4 linked regions of the Anolis sagrei genome follow. The protein of the gene in region 1 interacts with the protein of each later gene in a pairwise test. Links are inferred from orthologs where the notes say so. Each region holds a gene or a part of one and is shown in the gene's direction. Other genes may lie near its edges. The genes, in order: KLHL12, PRR13, TTBK2 and PDGFRB.

Region 1 (6,961 bases):
AAACTATTCTTGAAAGAATGGGTGAAAGAGGAACAAGCAGGTTTTTTGCCTAACAGGCAATTAAAAGACAATATTAGGATTATTCTAAACACCATAGAATACCTCGAGAAGAACAACCAAGAAGAACTAGCACTACTAAGTCTTGACGCCGAAAAGGCGTTCGATAATCTCAATTGGAATTACTTAAAATTACTAATCAAAGAACTAGACTTAGGATATCAGTTCCATAATGCCATCAATTCAATCTATAACTCCCAAGAAGCCAGGATGATAATAAACATGCAAGAATCAAGCCCCCTGAAAATCTGTAAAGGCACGAGACAAGGATGCCCCCTGTCGCCTCTATTATTCATCCTGAGCTTAGAAACCCTTCTTAATTCTATCAGAGAGGATCCTGACTTAAGAGGCATCAAAATAAATAAGGAAAGATATAAACTAAGGGCTTTCGCGGACGACTTGTTGTGTATCATCAGCAACCCCATAGAAACAATCTCCAAATGGATAACTAAAATTAAAGAGTACGGGTCAGTAGCGGGCCTAAGGATAAATAAAAGAAAGACGGAGATACTAACTAAAAATATGTCCCAGAAAAGAAAGGAAGAGCTTTCCACCCTAACAGAATTTAAAGTAGTAGAGAAAATACGATACTTGGGAATAACGTTAACAGCTAAAAACTCCCAACTAATAAAAAACAATTATGAAAAGATATGGAAAGAAGTACAGAAGGATCTAGACAATTGGAAAAATCTGAAGCTGTCTCTGCTAGGGAGAATCTCTATAATAAAGATGAACATCTTGCCCAAGATGCTATTCTCTTTTCAGTCCCTACCAGTAATCAGAAATGTAAACATCTTCAAGCAATGGAACAAAACCATCTCCAAATTTGTATGGCAAGGGAAAAAGCCCAGGATCAAGCGTCTGATACTTATCGATGACAAAAGAAGAGGCGGCCCCGGCCTCCCAGACTTGAGGTGTTATTATGAAGCCTGCGGTCTGATATGGATCAGAGATTGGATCCTATTAACAAACAAAAACCTACTTTCCCTAGAAGGTGTAGACCTCAGGCGAGGCTGGCACGCCTATCTGCACTACGATAAAACAAAGATCGAAAGGAACTTTAACAATCATTATATAAGAGCAGGCCTAATGAAAATATGGGAGAGACACAAAAAAAGACTATATAATAAAACTCCACTGTGGCTCTCGTCCCTAGAAGCCCTTCACCGGAGAGAAATGGGCTGGCAACAATGGCCTACTTATCGCGACATCCTAGAAAAGGCAGAAGGAAAATATGTACTTAAAGATGAAAGGAAAATAAAAGAAATCTTTCCTAACCTCTCTTGGCTAAACTATAGACAACTGGTTGATAGCTACAAGATAGACAAAATCGCAGAATTTGCTGATCAAAATGGTTTCCTGGACAGCATATTGAAGACAAACAACAAACTTATCACAAAACTCTACAAAAAATTACTAGAGTGGACCACTGAAATGGAACAAGTAAAAAACTCAATGATCAAGTGGGCCCAAAACATAGGCCACCAAATTGAACTGAATAAATGGGAGAAAGTTTGGAACCAAAGAATGAAATTAACCTACTCATATGAATTAAAAGAAAATCTTGTCAAAATGATCCATCGGTGGTACCTGACTCCTCAAATCATTTCAAAATGTTATAAAAACACCTCAAACAAATGTTGGAAGTGCGAACACCAGATTGGGACTTTCTTCCACATCTGGTGGTCTTGCCCCATAGCCAAAAGATACTGGACAATGATTCAAAAAGATATTCAAAAGATCTTAGGAATACAAATAGAAAACAAACCAGAATTCTTTCTCCTGGGAATGTATGACATTAAGGAGGAAAAAAATAATGACAAATTATTCCATTACTTAATTACAGCAGCACGGATCGAATTCGCTAAAAAATGGAAACAGAGAGAAGCCCCTCAAAGAGAAGACTGGATCAATAAAATCCTTGATATAATGACCATGGATGAACTGACATATTGGGTAACACCAAACCATGGCATCCCAAGTAAACCTACGAACTGGGGCTTAGTAAAGGTCTTCCTTAAGAAATTGAAAATAGACATCATTTATTAAAAATAAAAATAAATAAATAAATAAAATCACAAAAGAGTAAATCACAAATCCAGTGTCGCAAGAAAGGAAGAAGCATTAAAGAAGCTAAACTGAAAATATTTATAGAAAATCCTCATTGAAGAGATGGAAGCTCAAAGTTTTTAACTACCCTATAGCCCACCCACCCCCCCTCTACCCCTGCCCCATCTTCATCCGACCCCTTCCCTACCTACCTCCCCACCCTACATCCCTTGGGAGTATCGCCAATAACAGGGCACCCCTGTATTTTTCCTACTGCACTATCCGCTATATATTGTTCTCCCTCTATCTATGTATTTATGTATCTATGTATTTAATAAAAATTTATTAAAAAAATAAAATAGTTTAACTTTTTTTTGTCATGTCAGGAGCGACTTGAGAAACTGCAAGTCGCTTCTGGTGTGAGAGAATTGGCCATCTGCAAGGACGTTACCCAGGGGACGCCCGGATGATTTGATGTTTTTATCATCCTTGTGGGAGGCTTCTCTCATGTCCCCACATGAAGAGCTGGAGCTGACAGAGGGAGCTCATCCACCTCTCCCCGGATTCGAACCCACTGCGCCACCAGGGATTCCAGTCATTTAACATTGGATCAAACTTAAAGAGCACTTTAAAAAAGTTATAGTTGCCCCTCTGTATTGGCAGATTCAGCCCTTTGAAGTCAACTATCAGGCAGATGGCGCCTTCAATGAGAATGAGTTTGAGGCCCCTTCCACACAGCTGTATAAAATCCACACTGAACTGGATTATATGGCAGTGTGGACTCAGATAACCCAGTGCAAAGCAGATACTGTGGATTATCTGCCTTGATATTCTGGGTGATATGGCCGTCTGGAAGGGCCCTGAAACCCCTGAGCTAAGGCCCCTTCTATACTGCCATATAAAATGCAGATTAGTTGTTTTCATAGAATCATAGAATCAAAGGGTTGGAAGAGACCTCATGGGCCATCCAATCCAACCCCCTGCCAAGAAGCAGGAATATTGCATTCAAATCAACCCTGACAGATGGCCATCCAGCCTCTGTTTAAAAGCTTCCAAAGGAGCCTCCACCACACAGAGTTCCACTGCTGAACGGCTCTCACAGTCAGGAGGTTCTTCCTCATGTTCAGATGGAATCTCCTTTCTTATAGTTTGAAGCCATTGTTCCGCATCCTAGTCTCCAAGGAAGCAGAAAACAAGCTTGCTCCCTCCTCCCTGTGGCTTCCTCTCACATATTTATACATGGCTATCATATCTCCTCTCAGCCTTCTCTTCTTCAGGCTAAACATGCCCGGCTCCTTAAGCCGCTCCTCATAGGGCTTGTTCTCCAGACACTTGATCATTTTAGTTGCCCTCCTCTGGACACATTCCAGCTTGTCAATATCTCTCTTGAATTGTGGTGCCCAGAATTGGACACAATATTCCAGGTGTGGTCTAACCAAGGCAGAATAGAGGGGTTATTTCCCTAGATCTAGACACTATGCCCCTATTGATGCAGGCCAAAATCCCATTGGCTTTTTTTGCCGCCACATCACATTGTTGGCTCAGGTTTAACTTGTTGAACTGGATTAGAGGGCAGTGTAGACTCATATAATCCAGTTCATAGTAGATAATGTGGGGTTTTATTCAGGTGTGGGAGGGACCCCAGAGAGCAAGCACTGCTCCATCTCCCTTGACTTCTGCTTGACTGAGGGACTTTATCACAACGCGGAGGCCGAAACGTAGAAACTCCCTGTTGCTTGGCAACCACAAGGAAGCCGAATCCCTCCGCCCGCGACGCGCCTTTTCGCCCATTCAGCCGCTAGGCGGCGAGGCTTCTCTTCGCGCAGGTTGAAACCAAGGAGCGGCGTCCTCGCGGCTGACGTCATCCAGGCGCGCCTGATGCGGCGGCAAAGGAAGAGGAGGAGAAGGAAGGAGCGGGACGGGCGGGCCGCAGGAGCCGGGACTCTCTCCCCTCCTCTCCCCTCCCCTCCCCGCGGGGAGGGCGCGGCCGACGGCACGGGCGGAGGGCCTGCTGGGAGGCGGAGAGGCGGCCCGGCCGGCCCCTTGCCGCCCGAGGAGGCTGAGCCGGGAGCCAGGCCTCTGGGCCGCCCCCCAGGAGGGAACGCCAGGTAAAGGAAGGAACACAGCCCCACTTGGCGGCCTGTCTAGTGTTATCAGGCCTTTGTCACTGAAGGCATTCCCTATTGGAAAACAAAGTATTCCGTTTCAATGTACCTGAATTCCTCTACACTAGTCATGGGCCAACTTGAGCCCTCTTTCCAGGTGTTTTGGACTTCAACTCCCACCATTCCTAACAGCCTCAGGCCCCTTCCTTTCCCCCCTCGAAAGGAAAGGGCCCGAGGCTGTTAGGAATTGTGGGAGCTGAAGTCCAAAACACCTGGAGGGAAGGCCCAAGTTTGCCCGTGCTTGCTTTAGATTCTGGTGAACTGTAGTTGTCATTTTACAAGACCTTCACCTTCCTCCCCTTCCTCAATGGTGGGAGTAGAAGTCCAAAACACCTGGAGGGAGGGCTCAAGTTGGCCCATGCCTGATCTACACTATGCAGTGGGATGTTTGGGTTCTAGTAATCATCATTTGAAACTCTATACCCCACCGTTACAAGGGATAAGGGTTTAATTTGTGGCTGCAGAGATAACAGCGATTACGAATTGGGTCCCTCTTTTTGAAACACTCAGCACTGTATATGATGTTGTGTAAAAAAAAAAGGCCTTCTCTGTGGTGGCTCCTGAGCTGTGGAACTCCCTGCCTAGGGATATTAGATCAGCCCCTTCCCTCCTGACCTTTCAAAAAAGAGTGAGCAAGCGTTTGGAACCACAGCATGACCAAAAACTCATATTGGAAATGAACTAGGGAACAACTAAGATAATGGAACGGTTGAGGATTTGAACAAGAAGACAGTTTATATAATTTTTATTAATCATTGGTTTTTATAGTTTTTAAATGTATTGTGATGTTTTGCTTTTACATATGTATGTATTTTTTAATACATGGCATCTAATTGTTGCCAACTTGTACGCCACCCTGAGTCACCCTCAGGCTGATATAGGCGGGATACAAATGTCTTAAATAAATAAATATTTATATCCTGCTTTTGGAGCCCCCAGTGGTACAGCAGGTTAAACCGCTGAGTTGTTGAACTTGCTGACCGAAAGGTCAGCAGTTCGAATCCATGGAGCGGGATGATCTCCCACTGTTAGCCCCAGCTTCTGCCAACCTAGCAGTTTGAAAACATGCAAGTATGAGTAGATCAATAGGTACCGCCCTGGCTGGAAGGTAACAGCGCTCCATGCAGTAATACTGACCACATGACCTTGGAGACTTCTACAGACAACACCAGCTCTTTGGTGTAGGAATAGAGATGATCACCACCCCCCAGAGACGGACACGACTAGGCTTAATGTCAAGGGGAAACCTTTACTTTTTTTTTATCCCACCCTATCTCCCCATGGGGTATACACTCCCAATGGGGTGTATATTAAAGCCAAAATAATGAAGGCATTATTAAATGTTTAACTTGTGACCTTTGGTCCACCATGTATTTACATCCCTACTGAGTATTCGTGGAGTCTAAACATTAAACTAATTCATGTTATATATACACCATATATATAGAGAGAGAAGTAGCCTGGAGGTAATTTTGTGCACAGTGTTTTTAATAATGTGTATGAAACATGGATTGTATTCATTGAACCATCAGAAAGCAAATATTTATTTATTTATTTACAGTATTTATATTCCACCCTTCTCACCCCGCAGGGGACTCAGGGCAGATTACAATGCACATATACATGGCAAACATTTAATCCCATTTAGACATGCAACATATATAGACACAGAGGTAATTTTACATTCCAGCTTTTCTGGCTTCATGAGGATATGACACTCAGTCATCCATGTGAACCAGGACAGTTAAAATAGTGCCAAACAGCATTAATTCTACAGTATAGATTAGGCATGGGCAAATTTCAACCTCCAGTTGATTTGGTCTTCAACTCCCACAATTCCTAACAACCAGACAAATTGAAGTCCAAAACGCCTGGAGGGCTGAATTTTGCCCCGGTATAGATGCACCCTAGATGCCCTCAGATACATCAGACACTTGATTTAAAAAATATTTTCAAGTTTTAGATGGTTGAATCCATGGAAACTAATGGCCAACTGTATTTTGAAAATTCGAATGCATCTTTTGTTAACCTTACAACTAATATACTAAAATTATATATACCATATGTGTGTGTATGTATGTATGTATACACACACAGTATAATAGGAAGATTTAAAAGTAATAGAAATGTATGTCTAACCTAGGCAACTTCTGAATTTTCCTCGCTCCATCTCCCTGCACTGTCACTGATCCACCTTTATTACATCTTGTCCTTACATCTGATGTTTGTATTATCTCAGTCTGTGGCTTTGTATTGTGTTGGTGTCCTACAGTGCACCTACTGCACATTTGATAATAAGCCAATATTTAATAGTTGATTATTTTGAGGTATATTGCAATGTAACTGAATAGAAGAGTTTGCATGAAAATGGCTAGAGCAGAATGATCTACAAGCTAATTTATAGATATGTACAGGAGAGACAAAGTTCCTCATTCTTCATCTTTAGACTTTGTTAAATTTGGCCTTGTGTTCATCAGTAAACAGATGTTTTTATCCCACAGGTTACTGATACGTTGAACCTGCCTCCACAGCTCTCTTGTTGGCTGGAGTAACTCACTATGGCTCCTAAAGATATAATGACTAATTCTCATGCCAAATCCATTCTCAATGCAATGAATTCTCTGCGAAAAAGTAACACGTTATGTGATGTGACCCTTCGTGTGGAACAAAAATACTTTCCAGCCCATCGG
Region 2 (7,274 bases), on another chromosome or scaffold:
CCTAATGCTTATTTCTAAAATCTGCTGGCTTAGGCCATATCTACATGGCCAAAATAAAAAAGGACTCATTACTGAGCTCCTATGGCACATAGCTGGAGTTACAGTACAATCACTGCATCCAGATGTTAATCCACATCAACAGAACATGGATTGATCCCACAGTTTCAAAGCTTTGACCAGCTATTTTTTGACAAGCTGATGGCTGCTTGCCACCAGCAAGCAGCTCCATCCCGGAGGCTTGCTGTTGATGCCATTGTGATGTCATTTCTGGTGCCAAGCAATGTGACCTTAAGTGTGTGTCCCTTCATTCTGAGAGGAAGCTGCCTGCTGATAGCGATGCACTGACAGCCCCAATGCATTCTTGGGACTGATCGGCTTTATGGATAGCCAAAATGTTCCAGGATGCTACAAAGTTAGATTTATCTGGTTGATGTAGATACACTTCTAAATCTGGTCAGCCTCTCCAATCCTTTTCTGCACTATCTCTGTAACTTCACAGAGAGAAACAGACAGGAAACTTGATATGGCTGGAGGGTTTTTTGCTTTGTTTTTTTTTTTTTTTTTGGATAAACGTCATCCCCAACATGAAATTGGAAATTCACTTGCTAGCCCGAATTATAGCAAACCTATAGAGTTAACAGATCCAACTCACTCAATGGGTCTATCTGAGACTAATGACGTGAGTTAGGCAACCATTTTTATGGTTTGTGGATGGGGCTCATGATAGTTATATAATTTTCAAATAGGTTTAAATTTATATTGCGATTGTGCTCTTATTTTTGGACACCATGTAGCAAGGGAGCAACTAAAACCAAAAGATTTCCTGAGCTGTATCAAAGTCACAGCATCAGTGTTGCTAGAAATTCAAAGGTTTTTTTTTCCTGGGAAGCTAATTGAAAATCAGGAGCAAAGAGCCCGGGGTGGGTTTTTTTTAGCAGTAACCTTGATGGCGCAATGGCTTCCAGGTATTAATACAAATATAGTGCAAAGACGTATCTGAGTGACTTTGCAACATACAAATCTCTTTTCCAACAAGCCAAATATACTTCACAGACAAAAAAAAGAATGGCCCCATGCAAGCACTATGATTTGTCCATGACGACATAACACTTTCTTGAATTGTTACCGGAAGATGAACGACAGCCAGTGGAGCTCCTTAAACAGGACGATTGACTGCTCTCTGTAATTTGCCCCCGTTAGAATTCTGGCTGCCGAGCATTGAACCAATTGAATTTTCCGGGCTGTCTTCAAGGGAAGCCCCACGTAGAGTGCATTGCAATAGTCCAATCTAGAGGTAACTAAGGCGTGGACCATCATGGTAAAGTCAGACTTCGCAAGGTATGGTTGCAGCTGGCGCACGAGTTTTAATTGTGCAAAGGCCCTCCCAGCCACCACTGACACCTGCGCATCAAACATCAGTGCTGAGTCCAGGAGGACCCCCAAGCTGTGGATCTGCGCCTTCAGGGGGAGTGCAACCCCGTCCAGCACAGGTTGCCACCCAATACCCTGGTCAAGTATATTGGGTGTCTTGTCGGGATTGATCTTCAGCTTGTTTGCCCTCATCCAGGTTGATACAGCAGCCAGGCACTGGTCCAGCATCCGAGGGGCTTCCTTGGATTCGGTGGGAAAGAGTAGTGGAGCTGGGCGTCATCCGCATAGAGATGGCACCCAACTCCAAAACTCCGGATGACCTCTCCCAGTGGTTTCATATAGATGGTAAAAAGCATGGGAGACAGAATGGAGCCTTGCAAGACCCCACAGGTCAATGGCCAGGGGTCCGAGAAGGTGTCACCCAGTTTTACCATCTGGGAACGACCCTCCAGAAAGGACCGAAGCCACAGTAAAACCGTGCCCCCAAGTCCTATTCCGGAAAGCCGACCCAGAAGGATACTATGGTCGATGGTATCGAAAGCTGCTGAGATATCCAAGAGAATCAGCAGGGTCACACTCTCCCTGTCCAGTTCCCTGTGGAGGTCATCCACCAGAGTGACCAAAGCCATCTCGGTACTGTGCCTGGGTCTGAAACCAGACTGTGATCGATCTAGAAAATCGGTGTCATCTAGGAACCCCTGGAGCTGCGAGGCAACCACCCGCTCCAGCACTTTGCCCAAAAAAGGGAGGTTAGAAATTGGTCTGTAGTTATTCAGCATGGATGGGTCAAGGGAAGTCTTTTTCAGTAATTTTACCACTGTCTGCTTAAGGCAGGATGGGAATTTCCCATCCCAATGATGCATTGATGATGGAGATAAACCAGTCCAACAACCCACCCTTTGCCAATTTAACTAGCCAGGAAGGGCAAGGGTCCAGAGCACAAGTGGTTGCCCTCACAGCCCCCAGGATCCCGTCAATGTCATCAGGCAAAATAAGACAAAAAGAATCCCATAAGATCGGACAGACGGGAGCCTCGGTTACCTCATTTGGCATTGCATTTAAATTGGAGTCCAGCTCGAGACGTATCCGAGCGACTTTGCCTGCAAAATAGTGCGTGAAATCGCTGCACCGAGTTGCCGTGTCATCAGGGATGTCCTTCACCTCAGGTGGGTGGAGGGTGTCCCCAACAACCCAGAACAACTCTGATGGCCTATTGGCTGCAGACACTATGTGGGCAGTCGAGAAGGTTTTCTCGGCTGCCCGCCGAGCCGTGGAGTAAGCCCTAATAGTGTCTTTAGCCTGTGCTCGGTCAGAGATGTCATCCATTCTTTTTTATCACTATCCTGCTATATCATGTTGAACCCACACAATTTGTCAGATTTAAGCAGGACTGATTTCAGATAAATGGTTCTGCATTTCTTCCAAAACATTGTTGGTTTTTGAAGTCAACCTTGTAGAACAGGCATGCAGTCGTTCAACTTCTTTTAATTCTTGGTGGCACTCCTATTTCTCTCTCTCTCCCTCTGGTTTCGCTTGTTCCAATGCAAACTCTGCTAGTGTACTAAATAAATACCGTGTCCCTTTGTTCATCAGCTCCGCCTTTTGATATGGACTTTGTTTTCATAATAAGCCAGTCAGCCTGTTCAGGAGAAACGACACACCTGCTGCAAATCCCTACTTCAACACACAATAATATTGGGTTGCTGTAGGTTTTTTCGGGCTATATGGCCATGTTCTAGAGGCATTCTCTCCTGACATTTCGCCTGCATCTATGGCAAGCATCCTCTGAGGATGCTTGCCATAGATGCAGGCAAAACGTCAGGAGAGAATACCTCTAGAACATGGCCATATAGCCCGAAAAAACCTACAACAACCCAGTGAGTCCAGCCATGAAAGCCTTCGACAATACACAACAGTATTGCTTTATTTCTCTATTAATGCAGTTCCAAACCGATATTGAAGAAAGTGGTTTGGTTGTGTAGATGATTACATATAAAGTCCTAGAATGGGTTTGTAGCCCAGATGGTGATTATATAACAGACCAGTGATGCTCATGAAAGAATTTCTTTCAAGTCCTTTTGTGGAGTTTATTGCCTGATTGCTGCAGTTTGAAGCTAGCTTTTAAAAAGGTAAAAGTTTCCCCTGACATTAAGTCTAGTTGTATCCGACTCTAGCGGGTGATGCTCATCTCCATTTCTGGACCAAAGAGCCAGCGTTGTCCATAGACACCTCCAAGGTCATGTGGCCAGCATGGATACATGGAGCACTGTTACCTTTCCACAGAAGAAGTACCTATTGAGCTACTCACATTTACATGTTTTTGAACTGCTACATGGAGTGCTGTTACCTTTCTGCAGAAGCAGTACCTATTAAGCTACTCACATTTGCATGTTTTTGAACTGCTAGGTTGGCAGAAGCTGGGGCTAACAGCGGGAGCTCACTAAATGGCCTTAAATGGCCCTGCTTTCCAAAAGTGTAGTTCTGAAGCTTGAGAAACATCTACAAAACCCAACCACCCATAAAAGTTTAGGGGTGCATCTACATCGTGGAATTAACACAACTTGATACCAACTTAACTTCCATAGCTCAATGCTATGGAGTCCTGGGTGTTGTAGTTTGAGGAGGCCCCAAAACTTTTGATCAGAGAAGGCTAAAACCCTGTAAAACTATAAATCCCATAGCATTGAACCATGGCAATTTAATTTTTGCAGTGTTGATACAGCTTAACTTCTGTCTTAACCAAAGTCTCAGTCTGTATTTATCAACACAAAATCTATGACGTCTCCTTTACACACACCCCATTTCTCAGCTCTTTGAAGCATAACTGTTGATGGACATCTTCCTTAGCCTATAGGAAGAGGGCGTTGAGAGCCGCAAGCCAATGGGAATGAAAGAGGTGGAGATAGAATCAGGTTCCAGGAAGTGGAGGCTTCAGAGTTGCAGAGAGTGAAGAAGCAGGAACAGAAAGGGCTGAAGGGAGGCAGGTGGGTGCTCTTGTGATCAGGTGTAATTGTATGTATTACAGTATACACTTTTAATCAGACGTATATAAACTCTGGCTTTTGTATTGTTTTTCATTTGTATAGTTGAAAACATGTTGTTAGCCTCCTTGAGCCCTCCTGTATGGAGAAAGGAGGGAATATCAATGAGTATCATAATCATCACCATCAAATATCCTGTTTCTGTGTTGAAGACGCAGTGTCTCCCTGCACTGCCTGGCTTGTAACACGATTTTTGTCTCTGGGTTATAAATGTCATTTCCTAATTGACTCTATCATAAAAACATGAGGAAAGTTTATTTAAATGCAAAAACTTTGTTTATGGTGGACATCCTGCCGCACATTTTTGCTATAGCTTTTCAATGACTATTTCATCGAGTCCTAACCAATTGAACATAGTTTGTGGCAGCCACAAAAACAAAGTTTCTGGAGTATAACAACTACTTTCAAAGTAAGTACCGCACAATTAAACAGGAATTAATATTTGGTGTGGTGGAGGCTCCTTCTTTGGAGGCTTTTAAACAGTAGCTGGATGGCCATCTGTTGGGGATGCTTTGAATGTGATTTTCCTGCTTCTCGGCAGGGGGTTGGACTGGATAGCCCATGAGGTCTCTTCCAATTCTATGATTCTATGAAATCAGGAACAGGGGTAAAAATCAAATGTTGTTACATAGTGTTATTAAAGTGTGGCCCTTTTTGTTGTCGATTGCTTTTAAGTAAACTTTGGCTTATAGTGAACCTATGGGTGAGAGTCTTCCAGTAGCACTGAACAGTCGCTCTCACTGACTCAAGGCTTTGGCTTCCATAAGTGAACCTATCCATCTGTAGTGTGATCTTATTTTCCATCTGACTTCTAACTTACCAGTCAGTATTGTCTTATTTTCTGGTGAGCCATGTCCCCCCCCCCTTTTTTTTGGTCGTGTCAGGAGCTACTTGAGAAACTGCAAGTCGCTTCTGGTGTGAGAGAATTGGCCGTCTGCAAGGACGTTGCCCAGGGGACACCCTGATGTTTTGATGTTTTATCATTCTTGTGGGAGGCTTCTCTTGTGTCCCCGCAAGAGGAGCTGGAGCTGATAGAGGGAGCTCATATGCTCTCTCCCCAGATTCGGACCTGCGACCTGTTGGTCTTCAATCCTACCAGCACAGGGGTTGAACCCTCTGTGCCATTGGGGGCTCCATGTCATGACAGGGCTAAAATATGACAGCTTCAGTTTAGTTGTCTTGGGGCTCTTCCACACAGCCATATAACCCAGAATATCAAGGTAGACAATCCCATAATATCTGCTTTGAACTGGAATATATGGCACTGTGGACTCAGGGCCCTTTCATACAGCCGTATAACTCAGAATATCAAAGTAGACAATCCCCAATATCTGTTTTGAACTGGATTCTCTGAGTCCACCCTTCCATGTATCCCAGTCCAAAGCAGAAAATGTGGGATTTTATTCAGCGGTGTGGAAGGGGCCTTAGTTTCTAGGGAGCATTCAGTATTGAACTCTTCTGGGGAGGCCCTGCTCTCAATCCTGCCTCCTTTGCAGGTGCGACTGGTGGGGACAGGGCCTTCTCCGTGGTGGCTCCTTGGCTGTGGAACTCCCCAGCAACATTAGATCAGCCCCCTCCCTCCTGGCCTTCAGAAGGAAAGTGAAAATGTGGCTTTGAGATCAAGCCTTCGGAGAATAATTGTAATGTAATAATAGATACAGATTATGTGCAATGACTACTGGAATGGCCCCAGATTAATGATTGTCGATGGTATGGTTTTCAACAGTGAATAAAATGTTTTCTAAATGTTTTGATGTGCATTAGTTTATATTCATAATTTAAATGTTTATATTATTTGTATGTTTTAAAGCATTGAATAGTTGCCTATATGTAAAGCCGCCTTGAGTTCTCTTCGAGGTTGAGATATGCTCTTGGGCACCCATTTATGGTGCCCAAGAGCATATCTCAACCTCGAAGAGATTGAGATATGGGCACCCATTGATATGCTCTTGGGCACCCATTTATGGGACTTCTTAGCAGTCCACCATATCTGCAGAACTCTTCTCCAGCCCCACATTCAAATGGGTTTAATTTGCTGCTGTTACTTTTCTTCAATGTCCAGACTTTTCTCAGAGTGTTTGAATATGTTAGATAAGCAGATAAACTAAGAGAGACTGAGAGTACAGGTGCTGGTCAAGTGTTCTATGCTGAAGGATGCGTTTGTCTGGAATAAAGATGGAAAAAGTGAATGTTCCAGCAAGATTTGTTGCTTAATTCCACACATTTTGGGAGATCGGAGGGCCAATCTTAATTGTTCCTATTGTACAGATGGGAAAATTGAACTCTGAATATAAAAGGCATTTTCTGACAGCTCAGTTATGGATCTAGGATTTGAATCCAGCTTGTTGTCTTATATATTGGATGGTTGGATTATAGCTTGATTGCTATTTGCACTACAGTAGTATTACTGTACTACTAGTGCTATTTGCACTACAGTAGTATTACTACAGTAGTATTACAGTAGTATTACTGCTGCCGTTCATTTTCCGATCCCAATTCAAGGTGCAGGTGCTCACTTACAAAGCCCTAAACGGTTTGGGACCTGCCTACCTGCATGACCGCATCTCCGTTTACGAACCCGCACGTTCCCTTCAATCATCTGGAGAGGCTCTGCTCTCGATCCCACCTGCGTCGCAGGCGCGTTTGGTGGGAATGAGGGACAGGGCCTTCTCTGTGGTAGCCCCCCGACTCGGGAACTCTCTCCCCAAAGACATCAGACAAGCCCCAACGTTGGCTGTCTTTAGGAAGAGCCTGAAGACCTGGCTGTTTCAGTGTGCCTTTCCAGAATAGGAAACTCCTGGTTTCAAGTCCCAATTGCACTTTGCTAGAGACTCAGGATTATCTGCACATTGCACCTACCTC
Region 3 (7,058 bases), on another chromosome or scaffold:
CTGTAAGTTTTCCAGGCTGTATGACCACATTCCAGAAAGCATTCTCTACTGACATTTCTCGTGCATTTATTGGCAGGCATCCTCAGAAGATAGGCAGGAAGCAGCCAAGCTTTGAAGCTGCAAGGCTATTAATTGCTAATCAAGGTGATCAATTACAGCATTCAAACTTGCCTTTAACAGACAAGAGTTCTTTCTCCCACCTTGGACATTTCAGAGATGCATAAATACCGCTTGCCTAGTCTCCAACAAGCAATGGTATTCCCCGTAGTCACTCCAACAAGCAATGGTATTCCCCGTAGTGAGAGCTGGAACATAGAGAAGGCTGAGCGAAGGAAGATAGATGCTTTTGAACTGTGGTGTTGGAGGAAAGTTCTGGGAGTGCCTTGGACCACGAGAAGATCCAACCAGTCCATCCTCCAGGAAATAAAGCCCAACTGCTCACTGGAGGGAAGGATATTAGAGACAAAGTTGAAGTATTTTAGCCACAAAATGAGGAGACAGCAAAGCTTAGAGAAGACAATTATGCTGGGGGAAATGGAAGAAAAAAGGAAGAGGGGCCGACCAAGGGCAAGATGGATGGATGGTAGCCTTGAAGTGACTGGCTTGACCTTGAAGGAGCTGGGGGTGGTGACGGCCGACAGGGAGCTCTGGCGTGGGCTTGTCCATGAGGTCATGAAGAGTCGGAAGCGACTGAATGAATGAACAACAACAACAAAGTCTCCAACAAACCTCACAACCTTTGAGGGTGCCTGCCATAGATGCAGGTGAAATGTCAGGAGAGAATGCTTTCTGGAACATGGCCATACAGCCCAAAAAACTGACAGTAACCCTGCTTTCTTTTTGTAACACAACTAATTACTTTTATTTTGCTTAAAAGCCTTCTTTTGTGTATAAAATTCTATGAAAAGGCACGGTTGTTGAGATTTATTCAGTTACATAATTTCCCCTCTAAAAATACAGGGGAAGATGTAGCATTTCTATTTTTAACCCCAATAATTCCTATCACTTGATGTGTCTTTTGAAGGACTACAGATTTCCCTATCATTGTGATCCCAGGCGATTTGCTGGTTACCCTTTTTATTCCAAACCTGTTTCCCTCAGCTGTTACATACCTGAACGTGATGTTTTCCTTTGCCCCCATCTACAAAAGATGGAATTATTTTGTGAGGGGGAAGAGAGGAGTGCGACCCTTTTAAACAGGAAGGAAACTTGAATGGGTTGTTGTAGGTTTTTTCGGGCTATATGGCCATGTTGTAGAGGCATTTTCTCCTGATGTTTCGCCTGCATCTATGGCAAGCATCCTAAGAGGTAGTGAGGTCTATTGGAACTAGGAAAGTGGGTTTATATATCTGTGGAATGACCAGGGTGGGGCAAAGGACTCTTGTCTGTTGGAGCTAGGTGTGAATGTTTCAACTGACCACCTTGATTAGCATCTGATGGCCTGGCAGTGCCTGGGGCAATCTTTTGTTGAGAGGTGATTAGATGTGCCTGATTGTTTCCCCTCTGTTGTTTTGCTGTTGTAAGTTTAGAGCTTTTTTTAATACTGGTAGCCAGATTTTGTTCATTTTTATGGTTTCCCCCTTTCTGTTGAAATTGTCCACATGCTTGTGGATTTCAATGGCTTCTCTGTGTAGTCTGACATGGTGGTTGTTAAGAGTGGTCCAGCATTTCTGTGTTCTCAAATAATATGCTGTGTCCACGTGAAGTCGAACATGACCCCCCCCCCCCAAAGATAGTAACTTATAGTTTTGCTAAGGACAAGGACACCAGACTAGATAATAAGGTTTAAGCCTTGGTCAATTTGCCAAGACACTAACAACAACAAGGACCCTTCCCATGTTAGATAGTGTGTACATTTAACCAAGGTTTTATGCCCTATGTTTCATATATAGCAGAAGGTAGCACATTTATTACTGAGAAACCACCTCCCTTTATACTTATGTGCTCCCTTGAACTTCTATGGGACTCTAGTGGGAAGGATAAGTGGGTATGTTTTCTATATCGTGATTTCTATATTTCTATATTCCTCCCTGTGTATATGACCTTTTCCTGACCCTTTTTCCCAATTCCCCTTTATTGAAAAATGTATAAAAATACAAGGCAGCCGCCCCTGCGTGACCCTGGAAAGAAGGAAATCTCCAGTTGAAAAAGACTCTTATCAAAAGACACTTTTTGCATGGACAATAACAAAGGATCATGACCTCTGGCCTCGGAGTTGGCCCCCCAGAGGAAGTGGTCACTTGGCATTTATGATCATATCTCAATAGGACAAAGGAAGCCTTCGGAAAGCCACACCTTGTCCTAATCTGTTACTGATTCAATTTTTATCCACTGAAACCACAGCCACCTCATTGTTCCTGTCTCTCAGTAATGGAAAAATCCGGATTACGTTTATTGCAGCCACTCAATGACAATAGGAATGGCTGGCTCACAGGTCCCAGGACTCGCTGGCCGCTTGGACATTTCCTACCTCCATAATCATCTCAAGAATCCATTGTTTCCCTCTCATCCCGCCTCCCTCTCTCCTGAGGCAGAAGCCCAGTGATTGGCCCAGGCGCTCAGGAGGATCTTCGTATTTACTCTTGTGGCTTGTTCTCGGTCTTGCAGCTCTTCTGATGTCTGAGGTGGAGTATCCATTGGCCTGTAGAGCCCAGTTGAGGTGGTTCAGTTCAAGGCTTTAATGGTGCTTCTTTTTTGACTCGGGTGATGGTTGGCGTTTTTATGTAGATATCTATCTGTGTGTGTGGGTTTTCTGTAAACGGTGTGACCTCATTGTTGATCTGGTTTGCGGATGACTAGGACATCTAGAAAAGGCAGTCTTCCTTCATTTTCTTTCTCCATGGTTATTTATTTGTCGTGTTAGGGCAACCAGTCATTTATATTACATTTCTAACAGAACAAAGCAAACAAACAGACAAAATACAAAATTTGTGAGTTTGGTAGTTGGTTAAATGTCCTTTGACCAGTATCTGGCCACTTGGAGTGCCTCTGGTGTTGCTGCAAGAAGGTCCTCCATTGTGCATGTAGCAGAGCTCAGGTTGCATTGCAGCAGGTGGTCAGTGGTTTGCTCTTCTCCACACTCGCATGTCGAGGATCCCACTTTGTAGCCCCATTTCTGAAGGTTAGCTCTGCATCTCGTGGTGCCAGAGCGCAATCTGTTCAGCGCCTTCCAAGTTGCCCAGTTTTCTGTGTGCCCAGGGGGGAGTCTCTCCTTTGGTATCATGGTGAATTGGATGTTTGGGTGGATGCTGTTCTGCTGATCTGGTTGGCGGATGACTAGGACATCTAGAAAAGGCAGTCTTCCTTAATTTTCTTTTTCCATGGTGAACTGGATGTTTGGGTGGATGTTGTTAAGATGGTCCAGGAACCTTTCAGTTCTTCTTCTCCATGGTTCCAAATGGAGTAGCTATGGGGAGCCCTCTCAGTCTGATCATAGCTAATTTCTACATGGCACACTTTGAAAAACAAGCCCTGGAAACAGCAACAAAAAAGCCCACTCTATGGTTCAGAAATGTGGATGACACCTTCACCATTTGGATCCCTGGAGAAGAGGATTATTTTGTGAGGAGGAGTGTCACCCTTTTAAACTGGAAGGAGACTTCAATGTTCAAAAAGAATAAGACCGCTTTGAATCAGAAGACCAAGCACGTCAGGACCCGTGACGCAGAAAACTGGGTCTGAATCCCTTTTGGAGAAAAATAAATACAACCATTCTGACAAGATTCTGAGGCAAAACAACAATTCCCAGAATGCCTTTCTCTCTGTGTGTCTCTCCCCCCCCCCCCCCCCGCTTCTCCCCTCAGCAGCCTCATAAGCAACGGCGGCGTTTCTAAGCTACGGCCGCGCGCCAGAATGATTGGCAGGGGCCTTCCTCCAATCCGTTAGTGAGAGCCTCGCCTCCAAGCCAATCCCGTCGCAGGACGAAAGGAGGGCGGGCGGGAGAAGGCTGTTGGAGCGCGAGAGGGGAAGGCGCTTGGATGGAGGGCGAGGGGGGAAGGCGGGGGCTGGCGGCGGAGCTGCGGCTGCGGGAGGGAGGCTGCCGGGGGAGGAGGAGGCCGAGGCCGGGGCAGCAGCAGCAGCGGGAGGAGGAGGAGGAGCGCCGCTGACGGACTCCCTGCCTGCCCGCCTGCCTGCCTTCTTTCTCCGCCCGTTGGCTCTTCCAGGCCTCGGAGTCAGGCCAGGCCCCGCAGTCGCCATAGAGACGGCGGCGATGACGGCTTCCTCCGAAGCCATGGCCCACAGGAGCCCGGCGCCGCAGGGCTAAGACGCCCCACCTTCCTCCCTACCTTCCTTTCTCTCTCCCTCGCTTTGATTCCCCCTCATCGCCTCAGAGGAACGGCCGCGTTCCAGGTGAGAAGAGATGGAGGAGTGGGCCTAGCTCGAGAAGGCTTTGGGGGGATGCTGCGTTTCGGGGGAGGAGGAAGAGGAGGAAGAGGCGGAGGGAGAGAGAGCGAAGGATCACCTTCAGCCTCGCCTCATCATCACCATCCTCTTGTCTCCGCACCCGGCTATTATTCTGGCTTTACTGAAGGGGGCGGGGATGCGGCATTTTAAAAACCCCCACAAAAACCATCCCAAATCATCTCCTCCTTCTGTATTGTTGTTGAGGTTCCTGATAGATACAGGGTGTTTTTGTTTGTTCTTGGCGGACCCATCCCAAGGAGGCAGAAGATGGGATGGTGTTGTCTTGAGAAAAAGATAGTGGGTTGCTGTGAATTTTCCAGGCTGTATGGCCATGTTCCAGAAGCATTCTCTCCTGACGTTTCGCCTGCATCTATGGCAGGCATCGTCAGAGGTTGTGAAGGCTGTTGGAAACTAAGCAAGTGAGGTTTATATATCTGTGGAATATCCAAGGTGGGAGAAAGAACTCTTGCCTGTTCGAGGTAGGTGTGAATGTATTGTTGAAGGCTTTCATGGCCAGAATCACTGGGTTGTTGTAGGTTTTTTCGGGCTATATGGCCATGTTCCAGAAGCATTCTCTCCTGACGTTTTGCCTGCATCTGTGGCAGGCATCCTCACAGATTGTGAGGGCTATTGGAAACTTAGGCAAGTGAGGTTTGTATATCTGTGGAATATCCAAGGTGGGAGAAAGAACTCTTGTCTGTTCGAGGTAGGTGTGAAAGTATCGTCATGGCCGGAATCACTGGGTTGTTGTAGGTTATTTTGGGCTATATGGCCATGTTCCAGAAGCATTCTCTCCTGACGTTTGGCCTGCATCTGTGGCAAGCATACTCACAGGTTGTGAGGGCTGTTAGAAACTGAGGTTTATATATCTGTAGAATATCCAAAGTGAGAGAAAGAACTCTTATCTGTTTGAGGTAGGTGTGAATGTATTGTCGAAGGCCTTCATGGCCAGAATCACTGGGTTGTTGTAGGTTTTTTCGGGCTATATGGCCATGTTCCAGAAGCATTCTATCCTGACGTTTCGCCTGCATCTGTGGCAGGCATCCTCAGAGGTTGTGAAGGCTGTTGGAAACGAAGCAAGTGAGGTTTATATATTTGTGGAATATCCAAGGTGGGAGAAAGGACTCTTGTCTGTTCGAGGTAGGTGTGAATGTGTTGTCGATGGCTTCCATGGCCGGAATCACTGGGTTGTTGTAGGTTTTTTTGGGCTATATGGCCATTTTCTAGAACATGGCCATATAGTCCAAAAAAACCTACAACAACCTGTAGATGGGAATGTTTCAATTGGCCACCTTGATTAGCATTAAATGGTCAAGCAGTTTCAAGGCCTGGCTTCTTACAGCCTGGGGGAATTCTTTGCTGGGAGGAGATTAACTAGCACCTACCTCAAACAGACAAGAGTTCTTTCTCCCATCCTGGACATTACACAGATATATAAACCCCATTTTCCTAGTTCCCAGGAGACCTCACAACCTCTGAGGATGCCTGCCATAGATGCAGGCGAAACGTCAGGAGAGAATGCTTCTGGAACACAGCCGTACAGCTCCGAAAACTTATAGCAACCCAGTGATTTCGGCCATGAAAGCTGGGTTTGCTTCTTCCTTCTCCTAAGGTCATTGCAGGGACAGACTATTGGCAAGAACTTAGAGGAAGGGCAATGGCAGGTTGAGCATCCCTTAACCCAGATTTTGCAATACAAACGCAGATTTTTTTCAAAACAAATTCAGGAATACTTTGCAATACCAAATACTCCAGAATTTACCAGCCCCGAACCAGAAATCCCAAACAATCCAGAACTAGCAATCCTGTAACTGGGAGTCTGAAATCCAAAGTAATCAAATTGAGCATCCCTTAACCGGAATTTCTAAATAAAAAGTACTCCAGAATTGGGTTGCTGTTAGATTTCCGGGCTGTATGGCCATGTTCCAGAAGCAATCTCGCTTGACATTTCACCTGCATCTATTACAGCCATCCTCAGAGGTTGTGAGGTTTGTTGGAGAATAGGCAAGCGGAGTTTATATATATGTGAAATGCCCAGGGTGGGAGAAAGAACTCTTATTTGTTAAGGCAAGTGCGAATGCTGCAATTGATCACTTTGATTAGTATTGAATAGCCTTGCAGCTTCAAAACTTGGCTGCTCCTGCCTGAAGGAATCCTTTGTTGGGAAGTGATTAGCTGGCCCTGATTGTTTATTGTCTGGAATTCCCTAGTTTTTGAGTATTTGTCATGAGATTTATTTATTTGATAGTACCACTTTTTCTTTTCTGTTGATTAAATGTACATAAACATTGTTCCCGGCACCAAAATTATTTTAAAAATTATATGAAATTACTTTCAGCCTATGTTTAGAAGGCATATATGAAACATTTCAAACAAGGGATATTCAGCCAGTTTGAGTCATAAAACTGTTAATGTTGATATGCCTGTGTTTCTTTTATTCATGCGAATATGCTCTAGCATGGAGACAGATGGAGATTGTGGCTAAACATTGCTGTTGCCATTAGCAGTTACATGAAGATATAAATACAGACACATAGACTTACAGCACTTTTAAAAGCACAGGTATGGTTCAGTGCCAGGCGTATTTAATATCTGCCAGCATTGAGGGTTAAAAGAAATCTGCTAGAGGGGATGGCTATTTATTTAAAGTTATT
Region 4 (7,030 bases), on another chromosome or scaffold:
CGGAAAGGTTCCACTCGTATTGCAAGAAGAAAGCAGTGAATTCCTCAGAAAGTGTCTATGTATATTGTCAGAGCTAGGATGGGATTTGCTGTATGAAGCAAAACATGGTTGCACTCAAACTAGGTAGATTTATCTGGATGCAGTAAAAAAAAAAACCTTGGAAAAACAAAACATCCACCTTTGGTTAGCATAAAGTCTTCCTCCCTGAGTGTGATCTTCCATTGCCATTGTCTTTGTTGTTTATTCATTCAGTCGCTTCCAAGTCTTTGTGACCTCCTGGACCAGAGCTCCCTGTCAGCCATTGCCACCCCCAGCTCCTTCAAGGCCAAACCAGTTACTTCTTTTTTTAAAATATTTTTTATTGATTTTTCACATTTATTACATACTATTGCATTTTGTACATCAGCCTCTTTAACATGTTGTTTTATTGTTTTGCTTTGGCATTTCCCCCCCCCCCCCTTTCTCTTTTTTTCCTTTTTATCACCACAGTGCTCCCCTCCACCCGTCTCAAGCCACCATTCTTACATTTCATCTGTCCAAAATTTCATTTCTTCTTGTGATGGTAATTTTCCTTCCTTATTTTTTAATCCATTTACCACAAATCTTCCCCATACAGCATCAAAATCGCTTTGTTTCCATGTACCTTTTTAAACCTTTAATATACATGTCAATTTATCATTTATTGCTATTTTCCATGCTTCTTTATACCACTCCTCTATTTGTATATTCATTTCTTTTTTCCAATTCCTTGCTATGAGCAGTCTTGCTATAGTTAGTAAGTTTGTTATCGCTTCTTTATCTTCCTTTTTCAATTGCTTATTGTTATATAATGATAGTAAGGCTATACTAGGACTTTTATCTATTTTCATATTCATTATAGTTTCTATTTCTCTAAATACTTTCTCCCAAAAATTATTTACATATTTACATTGCCACCACATGTGTATATATGTTCCTGGTTCTTGACACCCTCTCCAACAATTTATTGAGTTATTTTTATTCATATATGCTATTCTTACCGGTGTCAAGTACCACTTCCATATTAACTTGTAATAATTTTCTTTAACTCGTATCGATAATTTTTTAAAATGTCTTTGTCCCCATAACTGTTGCCACTCTGTTTCACTTATTTTCATCCCTAAATCCTCTTCCCAAATCTCAAGGGTACACTTTTTTATTTTTTCATCCTTCATTTCAATTAGTATCTTATAAATTTTGCTAATTATACCTCTCAAGTTTTCATGTTCTTCTACAGCCCTTCCAAACCAGTTACTTCAAGGATATCAACCATCCATCTTGCTCTTGGTTGGTCCCTCTTCCTTTTTCCTTTCATTTCCCCCAGCATCGTTATCTTCCATTGTCATTACTCAAACCAAAGGGAGGCACTTCTTCCAGAGAAATCTTTGTCTCCCATGTGGGCAACAAAGTTCCTCATTTGTTTTTTGAAATCAGTTCTATACGTCCCCAGGTTTGATAAATAAGCTGCTTACCTTAATAATATCTCAAACATGGAGTAAAATGTCTAAAAGATCACAAAAGGGATCCCTGAAAAAACTTTAAAGCAGTTCATACATTCCCTCAAGCAGTAATACTTCCTTCATCTGTAATACAAAATAAAGGACTTTGTGACCTTCCCTCCCCCCCTCCCTCAAAATGTGACACTTAGATTCCAAATCCAGGGGGCAGCAAAGGTGTCACAGCTATGGTTTTGTTGTGGATTCCACTGAGATTTGTCAAATGCAAACACAATAAATGCATATCATATTGAAGCGAAGTTGTGGTACTGGTTTTCATTTTAGAAGTTTTCTTTAACTTTTCAAATAGGGCAGTACCGTGGGATCTTAATATAAGCCGAGGTTTGCTTCCAGGGCCCATGTGGATTTCCAAACTGATGGATAACCCAGTCCCATTATATATAATGGCATAGTAAAAAAAAAAGTGTTCCTTATATAAAATGGTAAAATGAAGGTTGGCTTTGGGTTTTCTTTTAAATTTCAAGCTGTGGGTGGCTGACTCAGTGGGTAATGAGGGTCAACTGTTCACCATACCTGTTCCAGGCATAACAAAGCTCAGCCCTCCAGGTGTTTTGGACTTCAAGTCCCACAATTCCTAAGAGCTGGTATACTGGCCGGGATTTCTGGGAGTTGACATCCAAAACACCTGGATGGTTGAAGTTTGCCCATGCCAATTTAGAACAAGTTCTTTAGGACTGGTTAGATTCAAGATCACTGTGTGTCAAACACAAGGCTCCTGGGTCAAATCCAGGCTGCAGAGTCATTTTATGTGGCCTGTAAGGCATTCAATGCCAGGGCAACACTGTTACATGTATAGTCTTGAGATTACAACCAACCCTTTGAAGGCGGCCTTATGGCTGATGTGGCCCTTGGTGAAAATGGGTTAGACGCCCCTGCTCTAGTTACATCTAGACTACAACTCCCACCCAGCCTAGCCAATGATGAAAGGTGATGGGAGTTGCAGTCAAAAGAAATTCAAGGGAGCCAATGCTGCCCATTGCTCCATATAAACGCTCAAGTGGAAGAGGGGCCTGGCCTCCTCCTTGGGGTTTTGCTTTGCACTTCTTCTGCAGAACTAAGATTTCCTTTGGAGGGGATTCAGCCCGCGAGTGGCCTGTTATGTTCCTTGGGCCTCGCAGCTGGGCTGGAGACAGAGCCTGCTCACGCCCTCCTCCTGCCGAAGGGAAACGGGCAAGGCCGAGGCGCAACGCACACCCCCGTCCCACTCGGGCCTGTCCACCCTGCCATTGTTCCCAAAAGAAAGGCGCTGGTAAACAGCGGCTCCGCCCAGCAGACGAAGCTCCTCGGAGTCAGCCAGTCACCCTCCTCCTCCTCCTCCTCCTCCTCCTCCCTGGCGATAAGGCCTCCAGTGGCAGGACCCCCAGCCGCCCTCCTGCTTTGCCCCTTGGCGTTTCCCCGGGTGTCAAGGAGGGGGCCGCGGGGCTTTGGATCCGCGGCGTGGATGGAAGGCCCCGGCCTCCTTTCTTTAATAAAAACATGAGTCAGCGCCTGGCGTGGGCAGCGGATTCTCGGCACATCCCCTCATATCCTGGGAAAGGGGAGAAGGCAGGCAGGCAGATTGGCTGGCAGGGAGGAGGGGAAAGGAGAAAGAAAGCAAGAGGGGAAAGCAGGCGCCTTCTCACACACACACACGGGGGGGAGGGGGGGCAGCCGCCCCGAGGGGAAACGTCTTGGCCAAACTTTGGGTTCCTCTTGTATTTGTTTGGCTGAGTCTGAAGGAAGGAAGGAAGGAAGGAAGGAAGGAAGGAAGGGAGAGAGGGGAAAGAGGGAAGGAAGGGGAAGGAACGGAGTAAAAAGGAGGGAAGGGAAGGAAGGAAAGGAGGGGTAGGAAGAAAGGAAAGAAGGAAGGAAGGAAAAAGGGAAAGAAAGGGAAGGGAGGGGAAGAAAGGAAGGGAGGGAGGGGAAGGGAAGAAAGGGAGGGAGGGGAAGTAAAGAAGTAAGGAAGGAAGGAAGGAAAAAGGGAAGGAAGGGGAAGGGAGGGAGGGAGGGGAAGGATGGGGCAGGAAGGGAAGGAAGGAAGGAAGGAAGGAAGGAAGGAAGGAAGGAAGGAAGGAAGGAGGAAGGAAGGAAGGAGCTGGGTTTTTCAAGGGAGCTCTCCTTCATCCCCGCCCCCCGCCCCCAAGTCTGGGTGTTTGGGGCTTCCTCAGAACTTCCCCCAATGGAAACCAACAAAGGGCCAAGAGGCCAGCTTTCTTTTCTCTGTCCCCAAATTGTCCAAACAAATGTTGGAGCCGAGCAGGGTTTCAAAAGAGAAGCCGCTCTCCATCCGTGCGCTCGGGGCGCCGTGGCAGGCGAGGGAAGGGCTGCTGCTGCTGCTCCTGCTGCCGCTGAGCCCAAAGATGCGGAGCGCGTGCTCGGAGGGGGCGCGAGAAGGCCGGGCTGACTGCCTCGGGAGGCAGCGGGAGACCCCTTCCTGGCTTCCTCCCCTCCTTGCCTGCCTCCCCGCCCCCTTTGGCCCTCCGCCCCGCCTCCCGCCTCCCTCCCCCCCCCCTCTCTGGGCCGGGAGCAGGAGGCAAGCGCCCGGCTGGCTCCCTCCTCCTCCTCCTCCTGAGTTTGGAAAGGGCTGCCCAGCTGAGCTGAAGTCCAGGCTGGTGGGGCTTGCCTCCGGAGACACTTCCGAGGGAGCCGGGCGAAGGAGCCTCGCGGAAGCCCAGGGCGCCCTGTGGGGCCAAGCGGTGCCCCCTCCCTAGTGTGGGAGAGCCAGGTAAGCCCCCTCCGGTCCCCTTTGCTTTTCCAGCCGGAGAGCCAGAGCTGCAAATGGAAACTCTTTTGAACAAATCCAGATGTGGAGAGCGCGAGCCCGCAGCGCCCTTCCTTTTCCAGGGCAGCTTCCAAGAGGCGAAACCTGGCCACTTTCCTTTGCCTGCACGCCTTTGGACCTTCCTTCGGGCTTGTTTGGGGGGCTTTGGCTCCCTCGCGCCCCTTTCCTAAAGGCGCCGCATGGTGAAGGGGCTACAAGAGCTTTGGCTGGGTCTGGGGCCGGTTCTGAAGGGACTTGCCCAAGCTCTCTTGATGTTATAGCCGAATAGAGCTGGACTGGGGCTTCCTCTCCCTGCCTTGCCACCCTTGCTTCTGAAATGGCCCTCCAAGAAGCCAGGGGAGCGTTGATACCAAGGGATGGTCCCGAGCATCCTCTAGGCTCCGGAAAAGATCAGGAGGAGGAGGCTGGGCAGGCAGCCTGTGGCTTCTGGCAAGGGCTGGAGAGGAAGAGCCTGGCATCTCCCTCTAGAGACCATGGGCATCATAACCCAGCACCTCTAGGGGGTGAGGGAGGGCTGTTTTTGACCGATTATTGAACAGGTAACACTCATCATCCTGGTATGGGAGAACAGCTTTCTAAAGCACAAAACTTCAGAGCTACTAAAGAAACCCCATCTTCATCAGAAAGGCTACTTTCACACAGTCACAATGGTTGGGTTGCTGTGAGTTTTCCAGGCTGTATGACCATGTTCCAGGAGCATTCTCTCCTGACGTTTCACCCACATCTATGGCAGGCATCCTCAGAAGTTGTGATGTCTGTTCGAAACTAGGCAATTGGGGTTTAGATATCTGTGGGATGTCCAGGATGGGAGAAAGAACTCTTGTCTGTTTGAGGCAAGTGTGAGTGCTGCAATTGGCCATCTTGATTAGCATTCAATAGCCTTGCAGGTTCAATGCTTGGGTGGTTGCTGCCTGGGGGAATCCTTTGTTGGGAGGTGTTAGCTGCCCCTTATAGATTCATGTCCAGAATTCCTCTGTTTTCTGAGTGGTGTTCTTTATTTACTGTCCTGATGTTAGAGTTTTTTAAAAATACTAGTAGCCAGATTTTGTTCATTTTCATGGTTTTTAATCACACAATTTCCAACAGACAAGAGTTCTTTCTCCCACCCTGAATGTTCCACAGATATATAAACCCCAATTTCTTAGTTTCCAAAAGACCTCACAACCTCTGAGCATAGATGTGGGTGAAACATCAGGAGACAATGCTTCTGGAACATGGCCATCCAGACTGGAAAACTCACAGCAATCCAGTGATTCCAGCCATGAAAACCTTCGACAATACATTGAACAGGGGTTGTTCAGTCTTATCCATCAATGCTGCTGGTCACATAATATACATTGGAAATGCAGGAAGCTACTCAATACTACAGTTGCACTACAGTTGGCTATCTGTATCCATGGATTCTTTATCCTCAGATTCCATCTTGAATAGCTTGAAAATATTTTTAAAATTTCAAAAGCAAACCTTGGTTTACCATTTTATATAAGGGACACCATTGTACCATGCCACTGTATATCATGGGACATGAGCATCCATGGATTTTGGTACCCAAATGGAGTTCTGGAAGCAATCCCCAGCAGATACCAAGGACTCACTGTATTTGTCTGCCTAAGTAGCTGTCCAGAGTCTGAGGCTCAGGTTTTTCAAACTACCTGCAGCCTGATCCTCCTTTCTTCTTTCTATTCTTTTAGGGGAGTGGGGTGAGCTCCTGTCTGTCAGCCCCAGCTTGTCATGTGGGCACATGAGAGAAGCCTCCCACAGGATGGTAAAACACACATTAATGTTTCTCACAGCATGAAAGCTATATCCATTGTACAATAAGAGACATTGGCTACTGTTGCCATACTTTGTGTCTCTTTTTCCAGACCCAAACTACCAGAGGAAGTACTGCTGTAACAAAGTGGTTAAGAAAAAAAAAAAAAGCTATCTGCCAGGAACCTTCAGTTTGATTCTCTACTCAACTGTCATCTCACTGGACAGTTTCGCCTTTTATGCCAGGTCCACACTGTCATATTGCAACAGCAATATTGCCTCAGTTTACTATGGTAGTTATTGTTTACTTAGGTTGCTATGGTGATCATTGAGCTAAACTGCTAAAGCATGTTATATGCATTAAGAACCTAAAGCACTGATGAGCTCTCGGCATCCTCCATGTCATTCTTGAGGATGTTGTTGCCCTTGACTCCTGTGCACTTAGAATCATAGAGCTGGAAGAGACCTTGTGGCCCATCCAGTCCAACCCCCTGCCAAGAAGTAGGAAAATCTTATTCAAAGTACCCCTGACAGATAGCCATCAAGCCTCCGTTTAAAATAAGGAGCCTCCACCACACTCTGGGGCAAGGAGTTCCGTGGCTGAATAGCTCTCCAATTAGGAAGCTCTTCCTAATGTTCAGGTGGAATCTTCTTTCCTGTAATTTGAAGACATTGTTCCACGTACTAGTCTCCAGGGCAGCAGAAAACAAGCCTCCCCATGACGTCCCCTCACATGTTTATACATGGCCATCACGTTTTCTCTCGGCCTTCTCTTCTGCAGGCTTAACATGCCCAGCTCTTTAAGCCACTCCTCATAGGGCTTGTTCTCCAGACCCTTGATTATTTTAGTCGCCCTCCTCTGGACACATTCCAGCTTGTCAACATCTCCCTTTAATTGCAGTGCCCAGAATTGGACACATTATTCCAGGTGTGGTCTGACCAAGGCACAATAGAGGGGCAACATGACTTCCCTGGATCTAGA

The links.
Region 2: the proteins of KLHL12 (region 1) and PRR13 interact in binary tests that used the Homo sapiens proteins (3 or more experiments, as listed by UniProt). The two-hybrid records come from large-scale screens. The link is inferred for Anolis sagrei from reciprocal best matches to the Homo sapiens genes KLHL12 and PRR13.
Region 3: the proteins of KLHL12 (region 1) and TTBK2 interact in binary tests that used the Homo sapiens proteins (3 or more experiments, as listed by UniProt). The two-hybrid records come from large-scale screens. The link is inferred for Anolis sagrei from reciprocal best matches to the Homo sapiens genes KLHL12 and TTBK2.
Region 4: the proteins of KLHL12 (region 1) and PDGFRB interact in binary tests that used the Homo sapiens proteins (3 or more experiments, as listed by UniProt). The two-hybrid records come from large-scale screens. The link is inferred for Anolis sagrei from reciprocal best matches to the Homo sapiens genes KLHL12 and PDGFRB.

Annotation. Positions count from the first base shown.
Region 1 is NC_090024.1:206,377,179-206,384,139, forward strand, and holds the start of KLHL12 (kelch-like protein 12), read left to right. Parts: upstream 1-3,960; 5' UTR 3,961-4,214; intron 4,215-6,772; 5' UTR 6,773-6,829; coding exon 6,830-6,961. UniProt on the Homo sapiens protein: Substrate-specific adapter of a BCR (BTB-CUL3-RBX1) E3 ubiquitin ligase complex that acts as a negative regulator of Wnt signaling pathway and ER-Golgi transport.
Region 2 is NC_090022.1:190,607,809-190,615,082, reverse strand, and holds the start of PRR13 (proline-rich protein 13), read left to right. Parts: upstream 1-4,272; 5' UTR 4,273-4,383; intron 4,384-7,274. UniProt on the Homo sapiens protein: Negatively regulates TSP1 expression at the level of transcription. This down-regulation was shown to reduce taxane-induced apoptosis.
Region 3 is NC_090021.1:286,669,442-286,676,499, forward strand, and holds the start of TTBK2 (tau-tubulin kinase 2), read left to right. Parts: upstream 1-4,043; 5' UTR 4,044-4,350; intron 4,351-7,058.
Region 4 is NC_090022.1:85,965,963-85,972,992, forward strand, and holds the start of PDGFRB (platelet-derived growth factor receptor beta), read left to right. Parts: upstream 1-4,022; 5' UTR 4,023-4,239; intron 4,240-7,030. UniProt on the Homo sapiens protein: Tyrosine-protein kinase that acts as a cell-surface receptor for homodimeric PDGFB and PDGFD and for heterodimers formed by PDGFA and PDGFB, and plays an essential role in the regulation of embryonic development, cell proliferation, survival, differentiation, chemotaxis and migration.